4 linked regions of the Nothobranchius furzeri genome follow. The protein of the gene in region 1 interacts with the protein of each later gene in a pairwise test. Links are inferred from orthologs where the notes say so. Each region holds a gene or a part of one and is shown on either strand. Other genes may lie near its edges.

What was found.
Region 2: the proteins of keap1b (region 1) and 5'-AMP-activated protein kinase subunit gamma-1 interact in binary tests that used the Homo sapiens proteins (3 or more experiments, as listed by UniProt). The two-hybrid records come from large-scale screens. The link is inferred for Nothobranchius furzeri from reciprocal best matches to the Homo sapiens genes KEAP1 and PRKAG1.
Region 3: the proteins of keap1b (region 1) and wdr83 interact in binary tests that used the Homo sapiens proteins (3 or more experiments, as listed by UniProt). The two-hybrid records come from large-scale screens. The link is inferred for Nothobranchius furzeri from reciprocal best matches to the Homo sapiens genes KEAP1 and WDR83.
Region 4: the proteins of keap1b (region 1) and E3 ubiquitin-protein ligase CCNB1IP1 interact in binary tests that used the Homo sapiens proteins (3 or more experiments, as listed by UniProt). The two-hybrid records come from large-scale screens. The link is inferred for Nothobranchius furzeri from reciprocal best matches to the Homo sapiens genes KEAP1 and CCNB1IP1.

Annotation. Positions count from the first base shown.
Region 1 is NC_091747.1:74,212,973-74,216,484, reverse strand, and holds part of keap1b (kelch-like ECH-associated protein 1B), read right to left. Parts: intron 2,460-3,512; coding exon 2,254-2,459; intron 1-2,253. UniProt on the Homo sapiens protein: Substrate-specific adapter of a BCR (BTB-CUL3-RBX1) E3 ubiquitin ligase complex that regulates the response to oxidative stress by targeting NFE2L2/NRF2 for ubiquitination.
Region 2 is NC_091743.1:48,654,640-48,658,892, reverse strand, and holds the start of 5'-AMP-activated protein kinase subunit gamma-1, read right to left. Parts: upstream 2,812-4,253; 5' UTR 2,696-2,811; coding exon 2,687-2,695; intron 274-2,686; coding exon 222-273; intron 140-221; coding exon 39-139; intron 1-38. UniProt on the Homo sapiens protein: AMP/ATP-binding subunit of AMP-activated protein kinase (AMPK), an energy sensor protein kinase that plays a key role in regulating cellular energy metabolism.
Region 3 is NC_091744.1:1,725,328-1,729,338, forward strand, and holds the start of wdr83 (WD repeat domain-containing protein 83), read left to right. Parts: upstream 1-1,200; 5' UTR 1,201-1,270; intron 1,271-1,409; exon of another isoform or gene 1,410-1,537; intron 1,538-1,844; coding exon of another isoform or gene 1,845-1,894; exon of another isoform or gene 1,895-1,997; intron 1,998-2,470; exon of another isoform or gene 2,471-2,605; intron 2,606-2,723; 5' UTR 2,724-2,726; coding exon 2,727-2,832; intron 2,833-3,638; coding exon 3,639-3,759; intron 3,760-3,935; coding exon 3,936-4,011. Other genes in the region: wdr83os (PAT complex subunit Asterix), read right to left, coding at 1,845-1,894. UniProt on the Homo sapiens protein: Molecular scaffold protein for various multimeric protein complexes. Acts as a module in the assembly of a multicomponent scaffold for the ERK pathway, linking ERK responses to specific agonists.
Region 4 is NC_091742.1:58,868,528-58,872,565, forward strand, and holds the start of E3 ubiquitin-protein ligase CCNB1IP1, read right to left. Parts: upstream 2,812-4,038; 5' UTR 867-2,811; intron 837-866; exon of another isoform or gene 1-836. UniProt on the Homo sapiens protein: Ubiquitin E3 ligase that acts as a limiting factor for crossing-over during meiosis: required during zygonema to limit the colocalization of RNF212 with MutS-gamma-associated recombination sites and thereby establish early differentiation of crossover and non-crossover sites.

The DNA.
Region 1 (3,512 bases):
ACCGTGGTGCGGGTGGATAGCGGCTTGACCCAGGATGCCGTGAGCTCAGCCACAAAATCCGGGTAAAGTGGCAGAAAGTTCTTTACCTCAGCTGGTTCCGAGGGGAGGTAAAATCCAGAAAAGCGGGACCTCTTTTGTGCAGGTGGAGGAGCGGGCCAGTCCATTTCTAGCCTCCCCGCTTCACGCCGGCAGAGCGGGAGAAAAGAAGTGTCCTCTCGCAGCTCGCAGGCTGAAGTAGCGACCGGAGCAGAACACTCCACCGCCGAGAGGACCTCCTCGTCCTCGAGTAAGTCCTGACCGTCGGGGCAAATGTCCAAAGTGTCTCCTTCATCCTCTGCCAGAGGAGGAAACTGAGAAGCCTTTAGGTCTGGTCCGGTTAAATTGTCCGCCATCTCCATCTGATCTGCCCAGCTAGTAGCGGGGACATTGATCACTAGGCTGTCCACGTCAGGGCTAGGCGAAGCCGGGACCGAACGGGAAAGTACGGGGTCCTGCTACGAAACTGCAGCGTCTCCCAGGAGACGTTGTAGAAGCTTCACGCGCCGTTCGAGCGTGGGACGACGGAGTTGGCGACAGAACTCGCATGCCTCTGGCTCCACAAGCTCTCTCCTGGCGTGGAGAATTCCCAGACAAACCGGGCATGCTTCTTGTAGGTCCTTCCCGTGAAGAAGAATCCACAGCCCTGAGGACAGGGGCGCGAAGCGGCTTTCCTTGAAGCAACGTCCAACACAGTGCTCATTGCAAGACACCCAGCGGAGCGAAGCAGAGAAGCTGAAGAGCCAAAAAAGATAGCGCTCGGTGGGCAGGAATGCTAGCCAGAAGGCAGTAGTCCAGTCAGCGAGCGGTTAAGCCATCTTTTAACAGCGCAGCTAGTTGTCAGATGTGTAGTCAGCGAGGTGAAGAGCGTAAGACCTGAGGAATGACAGTGGCCGCTTATAAGTGGAGGGCGGGACCTCCACGCCGCGTCACTTTCATTTGCCTTACAGGCGTGATTAAATGTGTCTTCAGCCAGGCCACACGAGGGCGTGATGTCCCATAGTACCTTCGTTGTACCGAGTGAATCGACTGAAAAGGAACCCTAAATTCATCAGTTTACTTGCTGAGCTGAAGTTGTTTTGGTCATTTTTAACTGCTGCATGAAGTTTTGAGTCATTTGTTGGTGTTAAACCAGAGTAGATTATGGCTAGAGAATCAAACCTGATCCTGAAATGATTCATGTGGGATTACTGCTTTGTTGACTTTCAGAACAAAAGCCCAATTCAATTCAATTCAATTCAAGTTTATTTATGAAGCGCCAAATCACGACAAGAGTCGTCTCAAGGCACTTCACATAATAAACATTCCAATTCAGGTCAGTTCATTAAGCCAATCAGAAATAATGTTTCCTATATAAGGAACCCAGCAAATTGCATCAAGTCACGTGTGAGACTAACTTTAGTTTCAGATGACTTAAGATTTGACCACTTATAAATGTTCCAGACAGCATTCAGAATCTCTAAATTAAAGCTCCATCAAAAACTTTATTTTCTGATCACCATTATTTACAGAAAATGTGCCGACCGAAACATCATAATATATTTACCTTCAACTGAACCATGTTCAGCGCTTTGGGCTTCCTGACAGGGTTGCGGAAGGTGCTTTATAAATAAAGCTTTGATTGATTGATTGATTGATAATTTCACAATGAAAGTTCACCAACTACACAAAGTTTCTGCAGAGTCTGACTTGGTATTTAATGATTAATGTTTTACTATTTAATATCTTCTTGTATTAAAGCCAAATGAGAGACAATGATTTTAGTTGGATCTGAAAAATATATTTCAAAATAAAAGTATCCCATGATAGACTGTAAACCTCATTAAAAGCACTGTTTGGTTCCCGAAGACGAGTTTAGGTGGACAGAGTCTGAGTGAAAACGGATGGAGCTCAAACCCTCGGGTCATAATCTACGGTCGTATTTTTATCCTCTTCTGGTTTCTGGTCATCTGCTTTTACTTTGAAAGCCAAAACTGAACTGTGTGAGAACTGACTATCATCGGTCGATTGATTACAAAATAAAATTTGGCATTTTTTGTGTTTTGGTATCAAAACATTATCTGCCATTTTCCCCATTCTGTTGATTTTTGAATGTTGATCGAAGATGGAAAGAACGGACGACTCATGGATTAACCTGCAAAACCAGTTCTGTAAATTTCCAACATGGCAGTTTGTTGAGTTCATCATTACTCAGCAGTTTTCCCGTTTCCTCCTTACCAGCTCCAGACCGGACGGTGTTCATAGGGGCCATGGTCCTCCACTCGTCCCGCTCAGGGTTGTAGCACTCACAGGAGTTGAGCCGGTTGGCTCCATCAAACCCCCCGACGGCGTAAAGCAGCCTGTTGATCACGGCGACGCCCACACCGATACGGCGCGTCAACATGGGGGCAACCAGCTGCCACTGGTCCCTCTCTGGATCGTACCTGTGACAACCAACACAAGGATCGTTCTGATCATCTGGGAAACGGGATCAGGAACACAAGGAGGTTTATGATTTAGCGTTAGCTTCTACTTCAGTAAAAAGGATGCTGATGTTGTTTTAAGATTTCTGACAGCTTGTAATAAGCAAACTTCTGTCAAACTTTAAATAGTACAGGCACTTCCATACCATCATTCACTCACCTTCTACCCTGCTGTTTGTTACGACGTATGAAGTTGAAACTCATTTTAAAAGACACGTCCATAAAATTAATTTGGCCACATTTCTCACCTTTATATCAGATCAGAAAAGGTTTATTGCCATTGTCAGTGAACAAACAATTCAAAAACTAGGAACTTGCTTCGGTACTAACGTGCTACATATAACATGAATAATATAATTAAAAAATAGAATAAAGTAGAATAAAATATAATAAACTAGCATAAAACTTTGCTATAAAAAATGGCAGGTAAAGGTAATATGGCCGATAACGTGATGTTATGTCAAGTACCGAAGACGAGCATGGTTGTGTGTTTATAAGCTGTTCACAAGTCTAACGGCAGTATAAATATAAACAATATAAACAAGTGGTCAGATCCACACACAGTGTCTAGAAGGTATTTTTAACCGTTTCCCCTTTTTATTCTCAGCCAAGCAGGAACTGTTAGAGGGTTTCTCTTTACAGTTGGAGGAAGAAGCCATCATAAGCCTGAATGAACGAGTCTTTAACTGTACAGCACGGATTCCTCTGATCAGTTTAACCATTCAGTTCCGCTGCGACGGGTCACATGTTTGGCTTCGGTGACGACTCAGACTCGAGGGGGTTGTTCCTCTTTCACAGGAACCGTAGTTTGTCGGGTTAACGTTTGACATCTCTGACTGAAGTCAGAGTTAGAAACAGTTACTACCTTCAGCCAAGATTTCTTAGTAAAAAGGAATCACATAACACACACGCGCACACACACACACACCAGGTGTTTAGCCCAGAGCAAATCTTTTAGAGTAAATAAAAAAAGTTGATTAAATTCTGTAACTATTGTACGTTCCTGAGCTTTTG
Region 2 (4,253 bases), on another chromosome or scaffold:
ATTCCACTAACATTTACAACCATGTTCATTTGCTGTACCTGGAGTGAAGTATCAAACACAACTAATTTGGAGCTTGTGGGTACAAGATCATAACAACGATGGGACTTCATAAACCTGGTGTATACATTACGGTCTCGGTCTAAAGAAATGAGAAAGCCTCTAATGAAAACACTCGCTTGCCAGTGTTTTAGAAACAAAACAAAAAAAAAAAATGTCTTTACCACCAATGAATGGATCCTTTTTGCTCTCGATGTCATCAATAGTTACTGGAATCTGTAAAAATACATTATTAAAAGTTAATTAAGTTTTAAAATTGCATTCCTTTTAAAGCATTCTCCTGTAGAAAAGGTCAAGGTCAATTTTATTTATAGAGCGCATTTACAGCAGCAAAGCTACACCCAAAGGGCTGTACAAGGTAAAACAAATCAACAATAAAAACCTAAAATAAGATGAGCACACAACAGTCACAATTTATAATTAAAACTGTTAAAAACTATTAAGATGCTCAAGTCAACCTGCATTAAAAGCCAGATAAAAAAAGTGCATCTTAAGAAGGGATTTAAAATGCTCTAGATTCTGTGTGGTCCTGATGTTGAGAGGTAATAATAATAATGCATTGAACTTATGTAGCGCTTTTCAAGACACCCAAAGACGCTTCCACACACTCTCACATTCACACACTGCTAGTGATGGTAAGCTACTTGTAGCCACAGCCGCCCTGGGGAGGTCTGACAGAGGCGAGGCTGCCATTTGGCGCCGTCGGCCCCTCTGACCACCACTAACACAGGCAAGTTGGGTGAAGTGTCTTGCCCAAGGACACAACAGCAGGATACCCCTGGCGGGAGCTGGAATCGAACCCACAACCCTCCGATCATGAGGCAACCTGCTCTACCACCTGAGCTACAAGGTAGCTTGTTCCACAGTTTGGGACCAACCACAGAGAAAGCTCTGTTGTCGCGAGTCTTATGGCGGATTTTTGGAACTGTTAAAAGAGCTTGAGAGCTGGACCTCATGGTTCTGGCAGGGACGTAAGCGGACAGCAGCTCAGAGATGTAAAATGGGGCCAGGTCATGAAGGGATTTAAAAACAAAAAGTAAAATTTCGAAATGGATCCTGTAAGAGACAGGAAGCCAATGGAGAGAGGCCAGAACCGGGGTTATGTGATCCCGCTTGCTGGTGCCAGTCAGCAAGTCGGGCCACTGCATTTTGGACCAGCTGAAGCCGGTGTAAGGAGGACTGGTCCATACAGGGAGAAAAGTCCAAATTGCACTTTTGAGACTTTTACCATTAATTACAGATGATTATTCCATTTATTTGCCTTGAATGGCAGCTCTCGTGGCTGCCTGTATCGGTTTTGTTCTATATGTTTTGTGTGTGTAACCTTGGTCAGGCTGTACTGCGGAGACACATTTCTGTGCTTCTGGATGCTGGAGCACTGACAATAACACTCTACCACTAGGCCATCTCAGTGGGCTGGCCTAGTGGCAGAGTGTCTGCCCTAAGACTGGGAGATCAGGGTTTGATTCCTGGTCGGGTCATACCAAAGACTTTGGAAAAAAATGGGACCCAATGCCTCCCTGCTTGACAATCAGCATTAAGGGGTTGGATTAGGGGGTTAAACCACCAATTGGTTCCCGAGCGCTGCCGTGTCTGCAGCTCACCGCTCCCCCAGGGGATGGATCAAATGCGGAGAACAAATGTGGCACACACATCAGTGTGTGTGACAACTAATGGGACTTTATTCTGATTCACGCAAAATGTAAAGAAAATCAAACCTGCACAACTTAGCCTTGGCTTGAAATTGCAAAATATATTGTTATTTATGCACGTGCAGTTTTCCTAGCGTTCTTCTTGAAAAGTAAATTATATTTGATTGACATCAAATATTAGATATGCAAAATGAAGTGTGCACTGGAAATTAAAAGAGAAACGACGCGGTTTGGCTCAAAGCATTCTACGTGTAATAAGCCACATTACTACTTCTGCATTTTAGAGCATTCCAGATAATTGGTACGTTCAAGTTGCAGAAATAATTTGTAACGTGTATAGCTGTTGAATGAAAAAAAAAGGGACAACCGATAGAAAAGCCTTAGCCTAGTGAATCCACGGTGGTGGACAGACTAAAGGTTAACTAGACAAACTAAAATGTCTCGATTAATCATACACTTCGTGGCACGTTCGAGTTAGTATATCAAGTTGTTTGCTGAACTTGAAGTCACATTTGAGACAAAAAGACGACCTGTTTTTTCTGATAAACAGAAAAAGGTCTGCATCAGACACTCATAAAGAGTCTCTGATGCAGCTAACTGTACTATATTATGTCGACACCAATCAAACTTCTTACATTAATTACTATATATATAAAAACTACATCACTAACGTTAGCGTGTTAGCCAGCGACACAATCGATCAAAAAGCCAGCTCAGGTGAGACTTTCTTTCTACTCGGGCGTTTTATATATATTAGTAAGCTTGGCAAAACTTTATGTAACGCGTTCAATATATGTATATATATATTTTTTTTTTATTACAGTTGCTCAAGTAATAATGTGCTTTCTTAACAAACCAGCAGACAGATAGCGTGCTAACTAGCTGCTAATATTAGCATCCAAAACAGAAAAAGTTAGCTTTGTTATTTAGAGGCTTTGTTAAAAGTAAAAACGTGTAGTAGCGAGCATTTTACTTACACACTCCATGTTCCATTGACTGAGTCGCTTTTACGGCTGTCCGACTCGAGTCCGACCTCACGAAGCCGGAAGCCCTAACACGTCTTCTTCCGCTGAGTGAATGGAAGGTTACCGTAATAACCATAGTGTTGCCGCACCACACAACACATTTCGCAGATTTTATTTTTTTTTACATTATCGTAATAAGAAAGATGATTAGGGTCACTGAAAAAGGGGGGGGGGGGGGGGGAGAATTCTGACTAATCTCAGGATTCTGGTATTTTTCTCAGAATTTCGACTTTAATCTCAGAATTATGACTTCAATCTCAGAAATCTGACTTTTGTTTCAGAATTCTGCCCCCCCCCCCCCCCGGATTATTAAAGTCAGAATCCTGAGGTTCAGAAATATCAGAATTATGAGATTAAAGTTAGAATTCTGAGATTAAAGTCCGAATTCTGAGAAAAATTCAGAATTCTTGGAAAAATCTGAATTCTTTCTTTTCTTTTCAGTGGCCCTAATCATCTTCTGTAATAATCTGAATTGCTTTAATTTTTAATTAAAAACTGCATCTCACTTCTAACTGTCCAAAGCTTAATGTTATTTGTTCAGTTATTAACAAGAAAAAATACTCTATGTAAATATTGAAATATAAATAATCAAGTAAAATCAGACACTTTCCAACATGAGTCACTTATTTATTTACAAAACAGTTTACAGCAAGATTTCTGAATTACCTTTGACCCACAAGGGAATATCAGTGTTCAGGTGCACAACACCTGCACTATTGGTGTCAAGTCAATAGAAGAAAAAAAAACTTTAATAAGAGCACCTTGAGTCAAGGAAAATAAATGAGGAAGTTTGAACTGTAAGGCACAAGACACAGCATCACCAGCTTCTGTTTATCTATCAATCATCTAGATCTGCAAAGCACTCAGTCTTCACTACAGAAAGAACATGAGGCCCACATAGAACAATAATCCAGCCTGTCCGGTCTTTGTAAGGCTGCAACTTTTAATGAAGAAAAAAAAAAAGACCACTACGAGTTCTCAGACTACAGCCTCAAAGGCATAAATGAAAGATAAACTTAAAAATGAATGAGCCAACTTGGCTTTCAGACTCTTTAATGGTCTTGTGAAGTGTTAAAATGTGTTTAAAACCTGAAACCCAACAATTCATATAAGGCTGTACTCTTCTTAGGATCATAAAGAGAGCACAAAACTCATTCAAATATCGACAAGACTACAGTATAAAACAGGGATAACTGGTAAATAATAATCTATTCCAATCTACAGGAAGTGTTCTTCATATACAGTTACTAGGAAAAATTAAACTATGATCAATGGAAACTCATCTGCTTAGCAGCAGATCTGGAACAACACTGTTGTCATGTTGACGGCTCCACAGAGATGATAAAAAGGTCAGAAAACTGTGAAACCACAGTAAAATCTCATGTGAAATATGCAAAAATCCAAAAGATCCGTCTATCGTGATGAAAAGTGAGTTTCCAACAGCACATTTAAATCAGTGTGAACTGTTACAGCATCACTACTGTAATCCAACATCAGCTCTCAACGGGCCTTCGCTGCA
Region 3 (4,011 bases), on another chromosome or scaffold:
GAACAATTTTTGTTTGTTGATTATATTTCATTTTTAATTTATTATTATTTTGCATCATGATTTATTTTATGGTGTAGTGTCATGTGGTAATTGTTGCAAATTCTAAATGTAATTTTTATTTTCCTCAACTGAGGTCATTTTTATTTGCTTTATTCTTCAGTACGTTGAATGTAGGTTACATTGTAAACTGAATGTATGTGAAAACGAAGATTGAAATAGTTTTAAAAAAGTTTAAAATGTACTGCAATAACCATTTTAAGCCGGCAGATGGCGGTATCTGCCCCGATTGCAATGACAATATTGAGAAAACTAACAGTTTATCTCTTTTTATTCCACAATCCACATTGGTAGCAGTTGTCATAAATTATTTCAGAAATTGAGAACTGCTCTGGCGCTCTCCATCTAGCTCTGGTGCTCCCCTGCTTTTCCTGACTCTGTACCGGAGGCCGGTGACCCACCGCCGGTCTTCCACCCGGAAGTGTCTGTGGATCTTCCACTAGATCTGTCACGGATTCGTCTGGGGGAGCAACAAAAATGATGGAAAAAATAAATGCATTAACGCTTCTGATTGCATTACACTGTATATGCATGAAGTGACTGGGAAACGCATTTGTAAACCGCTTGAAATATTTCAAATATTTTCGGTGACAGCCTTGTTTGTTTTGATTTTGTTAATAAAGTAAAAAATAAAAACGTTGGCATGATGAGGCCGATGATGCAATAAGTGCTGCAATTACTGAGGTCACTACTACAGCCGCAGGTACCGTGGCAGCAGTGGTAGGAGGCGTGGCTAGTGCCACTAAAAGTCGTGGTAGGGGGCGTGGCTAGTGCCACTAAAAGTCGGAAGTGTAATGGCAGCAGTGGTAGGGGGCGTGGCTAGTGCCACTAAAAGTCAAGAGCAGCAGTGGTAGGGGGTCGTGGCTAGTGCCACTAAAAGTCAATAATCCAATAATACCTAGCTGCGGACATTGCCCAGGAAAAACGTTTTTCCTGGGCAATGTCCGCAGCTAGACCTTACTCCTAAAAGTCGTGGCACCACCCGGAAGTGTAATGGCAGCAGTGGTAGGGGGCGTGGCTAGTGCAAAGTCGTGGCACCACCCGGAAGTGTAATGGCAGCAGTGGTAGGGGGCGTGGCTAGTGCCACTAAAAGCCGCGGGTGCCACTAAAAGCCGTGGCACCACCCGGAAGTATCAGAACTGCCACTGCAAGTGCCACAAGCGCTGCCGCTGCCACAAATTGCGCTCGGTCCTGCTGTAAAATAGACACTAGGGTAAGTAAACAGCCTGTAGTGTGACATCTACTATCTTTAAAAAACAAACTCATGGTGGGTCTGTGTTTGTGTTTCCACTAATCTGCCACATAGGTCAAGTTTTAATCAAACAATGAGAGAAATACGCTGCTGCCACGTCAACTTGAAGAATTCTGATTCGTTTTTTCAACCTGTGTGAAGAAGAAATCACAGAAAGGATTGACTAAAATGTCACAAGATTTTGCAGTACGGAAATAAAGATGATAAAGAAGTTAAAACAAGTGAAAGGTAAAATCCGATCAGATTAGCTGTGGTTTCATTATTTTTTGACTTAATAAATTTAAAAAAGAATTAAATTACACGCTGTGCGAAAGACTCCCAAACTGATGAATTGAGTTATTTTCTTGAATGCTGATAAATAACATACGAGTAGAAATGTCGACTCCATGAGAAAGTGTAAACCATAATTTCAAAGCTAAAGCTAATTCCCATTACAAAGTATCACTAGTGAGGAAGGGTTAGCTAGGCTGCTAGCTCGTTGTCAATTATGGCTAGTTTCGGTGTAGATTTGTCTGATTGATGGGGGAAAACCTACCGTATAATTTTATTTAGCCTCCTCGGATCTGTCGTGCTATTGGAAGACATTTTTGCCCCCAAATCTCCTTTGTTAAAAAGCAAATAAAATAAATTTAAAGTGACCGACGGACAGCTGATCGGCCTCGCGGTGAGTGACGAAACGAGATCAGAAAATTATTTCCGCTAAATTTCAAAACAAGAGTTCAAGATGTTTTTTTGCATTGACTAACATGGAGGTAAAATATTTAATATTTTATTTTGAAAAGAACAAAATAACCCAGTATAAATGGGGCATACGGGTTTAAACAGTACACTCTTTATGATAGGAAAACATAATACAGGAATGTGTGGCTGTGGAAAGGATAGAGAAACGGTAGAAAATGTACTGTGTAAATGTGACAAATATATAAAGAATAGGAAAATATTATCTAGACAATTAAAGATGAAAGATAATGAAAAGTTGAATTTGAGGAATATATTAATTGGAGGATTAGATGTGTATAAATTACTAATTGAATTTTTAAAGACTGGTAATTTAATATATAGAATTTAATTAGAACAGTTTCTCCGTTTCTCCCTAATGCGACTCATACTCCCACACAGAAGGTGGCGGAAATGCACCTAGAAGTTGGTTGCCAGCATCGACCGCCACCCGCCAATGAACAAGAAGAAGAAGACGTTGTAACTTAGCAAACATGTATCGTTGGTGGTTTAAAATATTCTAGTATTAAACTTCTAGCTTCGCTTTGAATATATTAACATGACTAACAGATAGCGTAGGTACGTTTTTTCATGTTGATTATTAAAACGCTTTTTATTACCGGAAACTAGCTCGTGCACAGCATAATGACACAGTTTGAGGATATTGTGGGTGACCGATGATTGTTTCTCCTCACAGGTAATGATGGCGTTCCCTCAGCCCAAACCTCAGGCTCCTCAGCTTCCTCAGCATCTTCTCCGGACCATTGACTGCCAGCAAGGAGCTGTCAGGGCTGTTCGCTTTAACGGTAAACTTTAAAACCCCTCTTGAAGCCTGATATTTACTATTTATGCCAAAATACAAACAAACTTCCAAAGAACCAAACCTGTCTTTTTTTGTTAATCATTTAGTAATGTTTAAATCTGTGTTTACAATTTCTGTGATCTTGCAAATGGTTTTTACTTTTATTGTTATTGAATGGCTTTTCCTCCATACATCTTTGTACCTGATTCTTCATTAAAATCTACTAGTAGCAGCACTGCAATAAACACAAAATATAGTTAGTGTTTAATGTTGAGAATATTAAAATAATTTGATGAATCCATTATCCATCTGGCTAATGCCTAATCATAAACCATTAGTCCCTTGCATTCACACACACACACACACACACACACACACACACACACACACACACACACACACACACATACACATATATGTATGTATGTATAAAGTCTTATATTTTAAGCCTTTTGCCCCAAATGAATGACTTATGTAAGAAAAGATGTCAAGTTGTTGTTGTTGTTGTTGTTAGCCTCAAGGGCAACATGCCGATTATCACTTGTAAGTCGCTTTGCACAAAAGCGTCTGCTAAATACATAAACATAAAACATTGTTTTTATTGGTGTAAAATGTTCCTTTTTGCTTAGCTGTTGGTCGTGTACTGACAACACTTAATACACCTTTACTTAGGGCTTTTATTTTGTTGATGTTACAGTAGGAAGTGGCTTAAAATGAAAAGCACTCTTATGAAATTGGTCGCATGCAAAGATTTGACTGAAATCAACAATAATAATAAACATGATTGTTTTCCTCCTTATTTTTAACCAGCTGACGGAAACTATGTACTGTCGTGCGGCAGCGACAAGTCGCTGAAGTTATGGAGTGTGAGTCAGGGGACCTTCCTGAAGACGTACAGCGGTCATGGATACGAGGTTCTGGATGCAGATGGGTGAGACGTTTGCTCTCATTTTCTTCCTCAGTATTTCAGGAATAATAAAATGTTGTTTTCAGGTGATTTTTTTTCCGATCCATGATGGAAAGAACACAAACACTTCAGTCATCTATTTACTAAACTCCTTTTGAGCCTTGATGGACCTTTTTTTCCCTCTTTGACTGCTTCCACAGGTCATACGACAACAGCCAGATTTGCTCCTGCAGCTCCGACAAGAGCGTGATCCTGTGGGACGTAGCAACAGGCCAG
Region 4 (4,038 bases), on another chromosome or scaffold:
AGCACACACATTGGTGCTTGAACTTGTTTAATTTGAAGGATTCATAACAAAATATTTAAATTTTACTGTTTTAATTTAAGATTAAATTATTTAGGTAAATTACAATGAATTAAACTCCAGTTCTTCCCCTTGAGGGTCCTATCAGCATGTTTTAGAGGGGTTTTCGGCCTTAACACACCTGATTTTAATCAGTGGGTAATTAAAAAGCTTGCTGAACAGGTGATGCAACCTGTAAACAACTAAAACACACTGGATAGGGACCCTAGAGGACCAGGTTTAGACACAACTGCAATAATGTGCTTATCAGAGGTCTGTGACTACAATATTTGACCCAAACTGACTCAATATTTCAATTTGTATTATAAAATTATTGTCCTTTGTGGAAAAGTTACATTTAGTAATAATATGATTTAAATACAATTACTTGAATTTCACATATAAAACAATGTAATGTTCTTTCGGTTTTATCCTCTATTTTAAGTATTTGTTTTCCATCGGCTTTAGCTGCGAATGATAACTTCTGTTACCGGACACATTTTCAGTTAAAATACTAAACTGCTCATGATGAATACATTTGTAAACAAAATAAAAAGTAAAAACACACAAATTTTTGGTGTTTTTTATGTTAGCTTTTTAAAAATAAAACATAAGATATTTATTTAGTCACGCTAACTAAAACCCAGCTAAAAGATGCTAACATTAGCATGTGAGCTAACAGCATTTAGCCAGACTCTTCAGCACTAACTGGAGCTAAACTAGTTTTGTTTAAATATCATGTTTATTCGGTTGAACATGGTATATATAAAAGTATATTTTAGTTACAGTCATTACTTTGGCATTAAAAATAATTTATTTAGACAATTTACCAGTTGTACTTCTCTCGCGCGCGGCTTGGCAGCAAATCACATGTTATCATTCCTGTAATGTGATTGGCTGATTACAGTCCCAAATCTCTGCACTAGAAAACATTTTCCTTATTAATGTAAAGTAAAGTAGAACTACCACCCACGCAAAATAAAATTTGAACGATGTTATCATTAATTTAACATTACAGTCTTCACATTTGGAAAATAATATGTTGTAACCTAACCCAGAAATGTGATAATGTATATTTGTTTCATATAAGCATATTGCACTTCATATCATTATAATGTGCACGTGTGATAAACATGTATATTGCAAAAACTTGATATTATATTGTAAGAACATGAAAATTATGTTGTTAGCCCCAAACACTGTAAAAAAACTAAGCCTTCTGCTAGACAAACCTGAAACTGCACTACAGATTCATAGCATCATATAGGCCTTACTATTGTTCTTATCTGGTCGATGCTTTAACTTGCCCTATATTGTAAAATTTCTACAGTTTTATTGTTTCTCATTTTATTAGTTTTAGGTTTTATCTGTATCAGAGCTTAATGATCATAACATCTTACTGCCTTATTTTGTGGTTGCTCATGTATTGCACTTTTATAATTAGGTTCCATTACTCTTCTTACGTCTTTTTAAATTGTTTTTAAATGTATTTTAGCATGTTCAGCACTTCAGGCTGTCTTGATTGGTGGCAGGAAGGTGCTTGATAAATGAATGAATTATCACATTATTACGTGATATCAATTGAGTTATATTTTTGCAGTGGCCGCTCTACATGCAACAATGACACTTAACAATCCAATTAGAGGCCGACCGATATTTCTTTTTTTTTTTAGACTGATGCCAATACTGATTTTTAAAGAATTTTGTTGTTGATGGCCGACATCTAAAAATATTAAACTTCAAATATTAAACAAACTCAAAACATTAAAAAAACTGCGTGTTGGGGCCAGGGGTGGACTGGGACCAAAATTCGGCCCTGGCATTTTTACGAATCGTCGGCCCTCCGAATTGGGAGAGCGGTGGGGGTGGGGGGTGTTGCCCCCGCGGACTCGTCTCTAGGCGGAATGTGAGATCTAATATGGACTGGGACTGTTAAATTACAAGCAGGGCCAGACCGCTGCGGCCGGGAGACCTGGCCTTCCAGATCAGCTCGCTCGCCATGGGCGGAGATCAGCTGGACATTAGCTACACGCTAACGTGGTAAAACAACTCCTACGTCATCGCTCTACCGTGCTTTTCTTGCTAAAAACGCCAGGAAAAACTGTTAGCTTCGGGTTACCATGTAGCCATGGACGTAATTTTGGGGGGGGACAGGGGGGACATGTCCCCCCCACTTTTTCCAAAGTGAAGTTTTGACCCCTGCTTTTTTTACCATCCAAAAACAATATTACTTTATATTAAATTGACACTGGTTGAGCTCTAGGACCAAGCAGAAAACAACCGTTTGTGTTTAAGCCTGTTTCCCATTAGAACATACAGTAAAGATACCCCCACCCCCGTGTCCCCCCCACTTCTAAAGTGAAAATTACGTCCATGCATGTAGCTAATGTTCTGCAGATCACAAGCAGCCCACTTGGCTAAGCGGCCCGCTGGGACAGTGTCAGAATGCCAGATAGGCCAGTCCAGCCCTGGTTGGGGTCCTTTGGGGCCTTTCTTCAGTCTAGTAGTGGCGGAAGTTGGCCACACAGTAGTGATGTGTCGGTTGCTAACGAACTGGCTCTAAGAGCCGGCTCTATCAAGTGAATGACGGGAGCCGGCTCGTCATTGGGAGCTGTCACACACACCCCCTTGTGTGCTACAGAGCAGTAGGGGCGGGGAAGAGGGAGGATCAGACTCAAGCCTGATTTATGCTTCTCCGTCTGCGTCAGTGCGGAGACACGCAACGCCATTATCCGTCCTTGCGTAGGGCACGCAAGTACGTACGGAGTCGAGCCTACTTTTTTAAACATCCGTCGAACGAGACGGATTACGCAAGCTTGTGATTGGTCAGGACGCAGCTGTTGTTTACAGCGCCGCCATTGCAAAGAGAGCCGAGGATAACTAGCGGCAGACACGGAGAAGCTTGAAGAATACCTCGCGAAAAAACTCTAAAAATATGAACGTTTAATTCTCCCGTGACTGGAGGAGTGAAAAGATGCGCAGCAAGCATTTTATTTGTGGACGGAAATGACAGGAAACGTGGGTTTAGAGGTGGGGAGCGCATGAAGAGGTGGGAGAATGAGAGACAAATATGTCCGTGTTAAAAGTCTCTTATATACACAAAAACACAATATAAACACACGATCTTGGACCGATACATGACAGGATACCACAGAACAGCGCTACGCCCTCTGTTGTCCTGCCGGGCAATTGCTTTGCAACACTCTCCAGGAGACGGAGAAGTATGAAAGCAAAACGCTTCCGTCAATCCATGCGTGTCTGTCCCTTGCGGAGCTGACGGAGAAGCATAAACCAGGCTTTAGACACACAGCAGAGCACATGCGGGCGGAGGGAGATGAGAGGGAATGAGGAGGAGGAAAAAGGCGAGCGAGAGAGAGGAAAGTGCGACGAAGACGGTGAGAAAATGAGCGACAGCAGTCGGAAAGTTGAGATTTCTTGGTGTTTAGTTAATAAATCCGTATAAATGATAATTATTTGGTATATTGCTTTTTTTACATTATAAAATAATTTTACGTATAGTTTTGCATTATTTTTGGTGATAAATATACTCTACGCAACAGAAAATCTGAGAAGCCACTTGGGAGCCGAAAGAGCCGGCTCTCTAAAAAGAGCCGGAATTCCCATCACTACCACACAGGTGCCTGATTTTATTATGTTTTTAATCATCTTTTAAAAATAACTTCGGCCGATGACAGATGTAGAAAAAATTTAATATATCGGTCCGATATATCGGTCAGCCTCTAATTACAATTAGCCTGTGTGACCAAAAATAAGTACCCTAATGTAAAATGTGAACAAAGCTAAACAGGATTTCTGGGTTATACATATAAAGTTACAAAACAGGTGAACAATGTACAATTTAGGGTATTTCAATTATCTAATAGCACACATAGACCAATGGCAACTAACTAAATAAAAGAATATAAAAATTCACAATGTCATAAATTTACCTCATCACTAAGACTCAAATAGTTCTGCACACTCAGTGTAATGCAGGGTCTG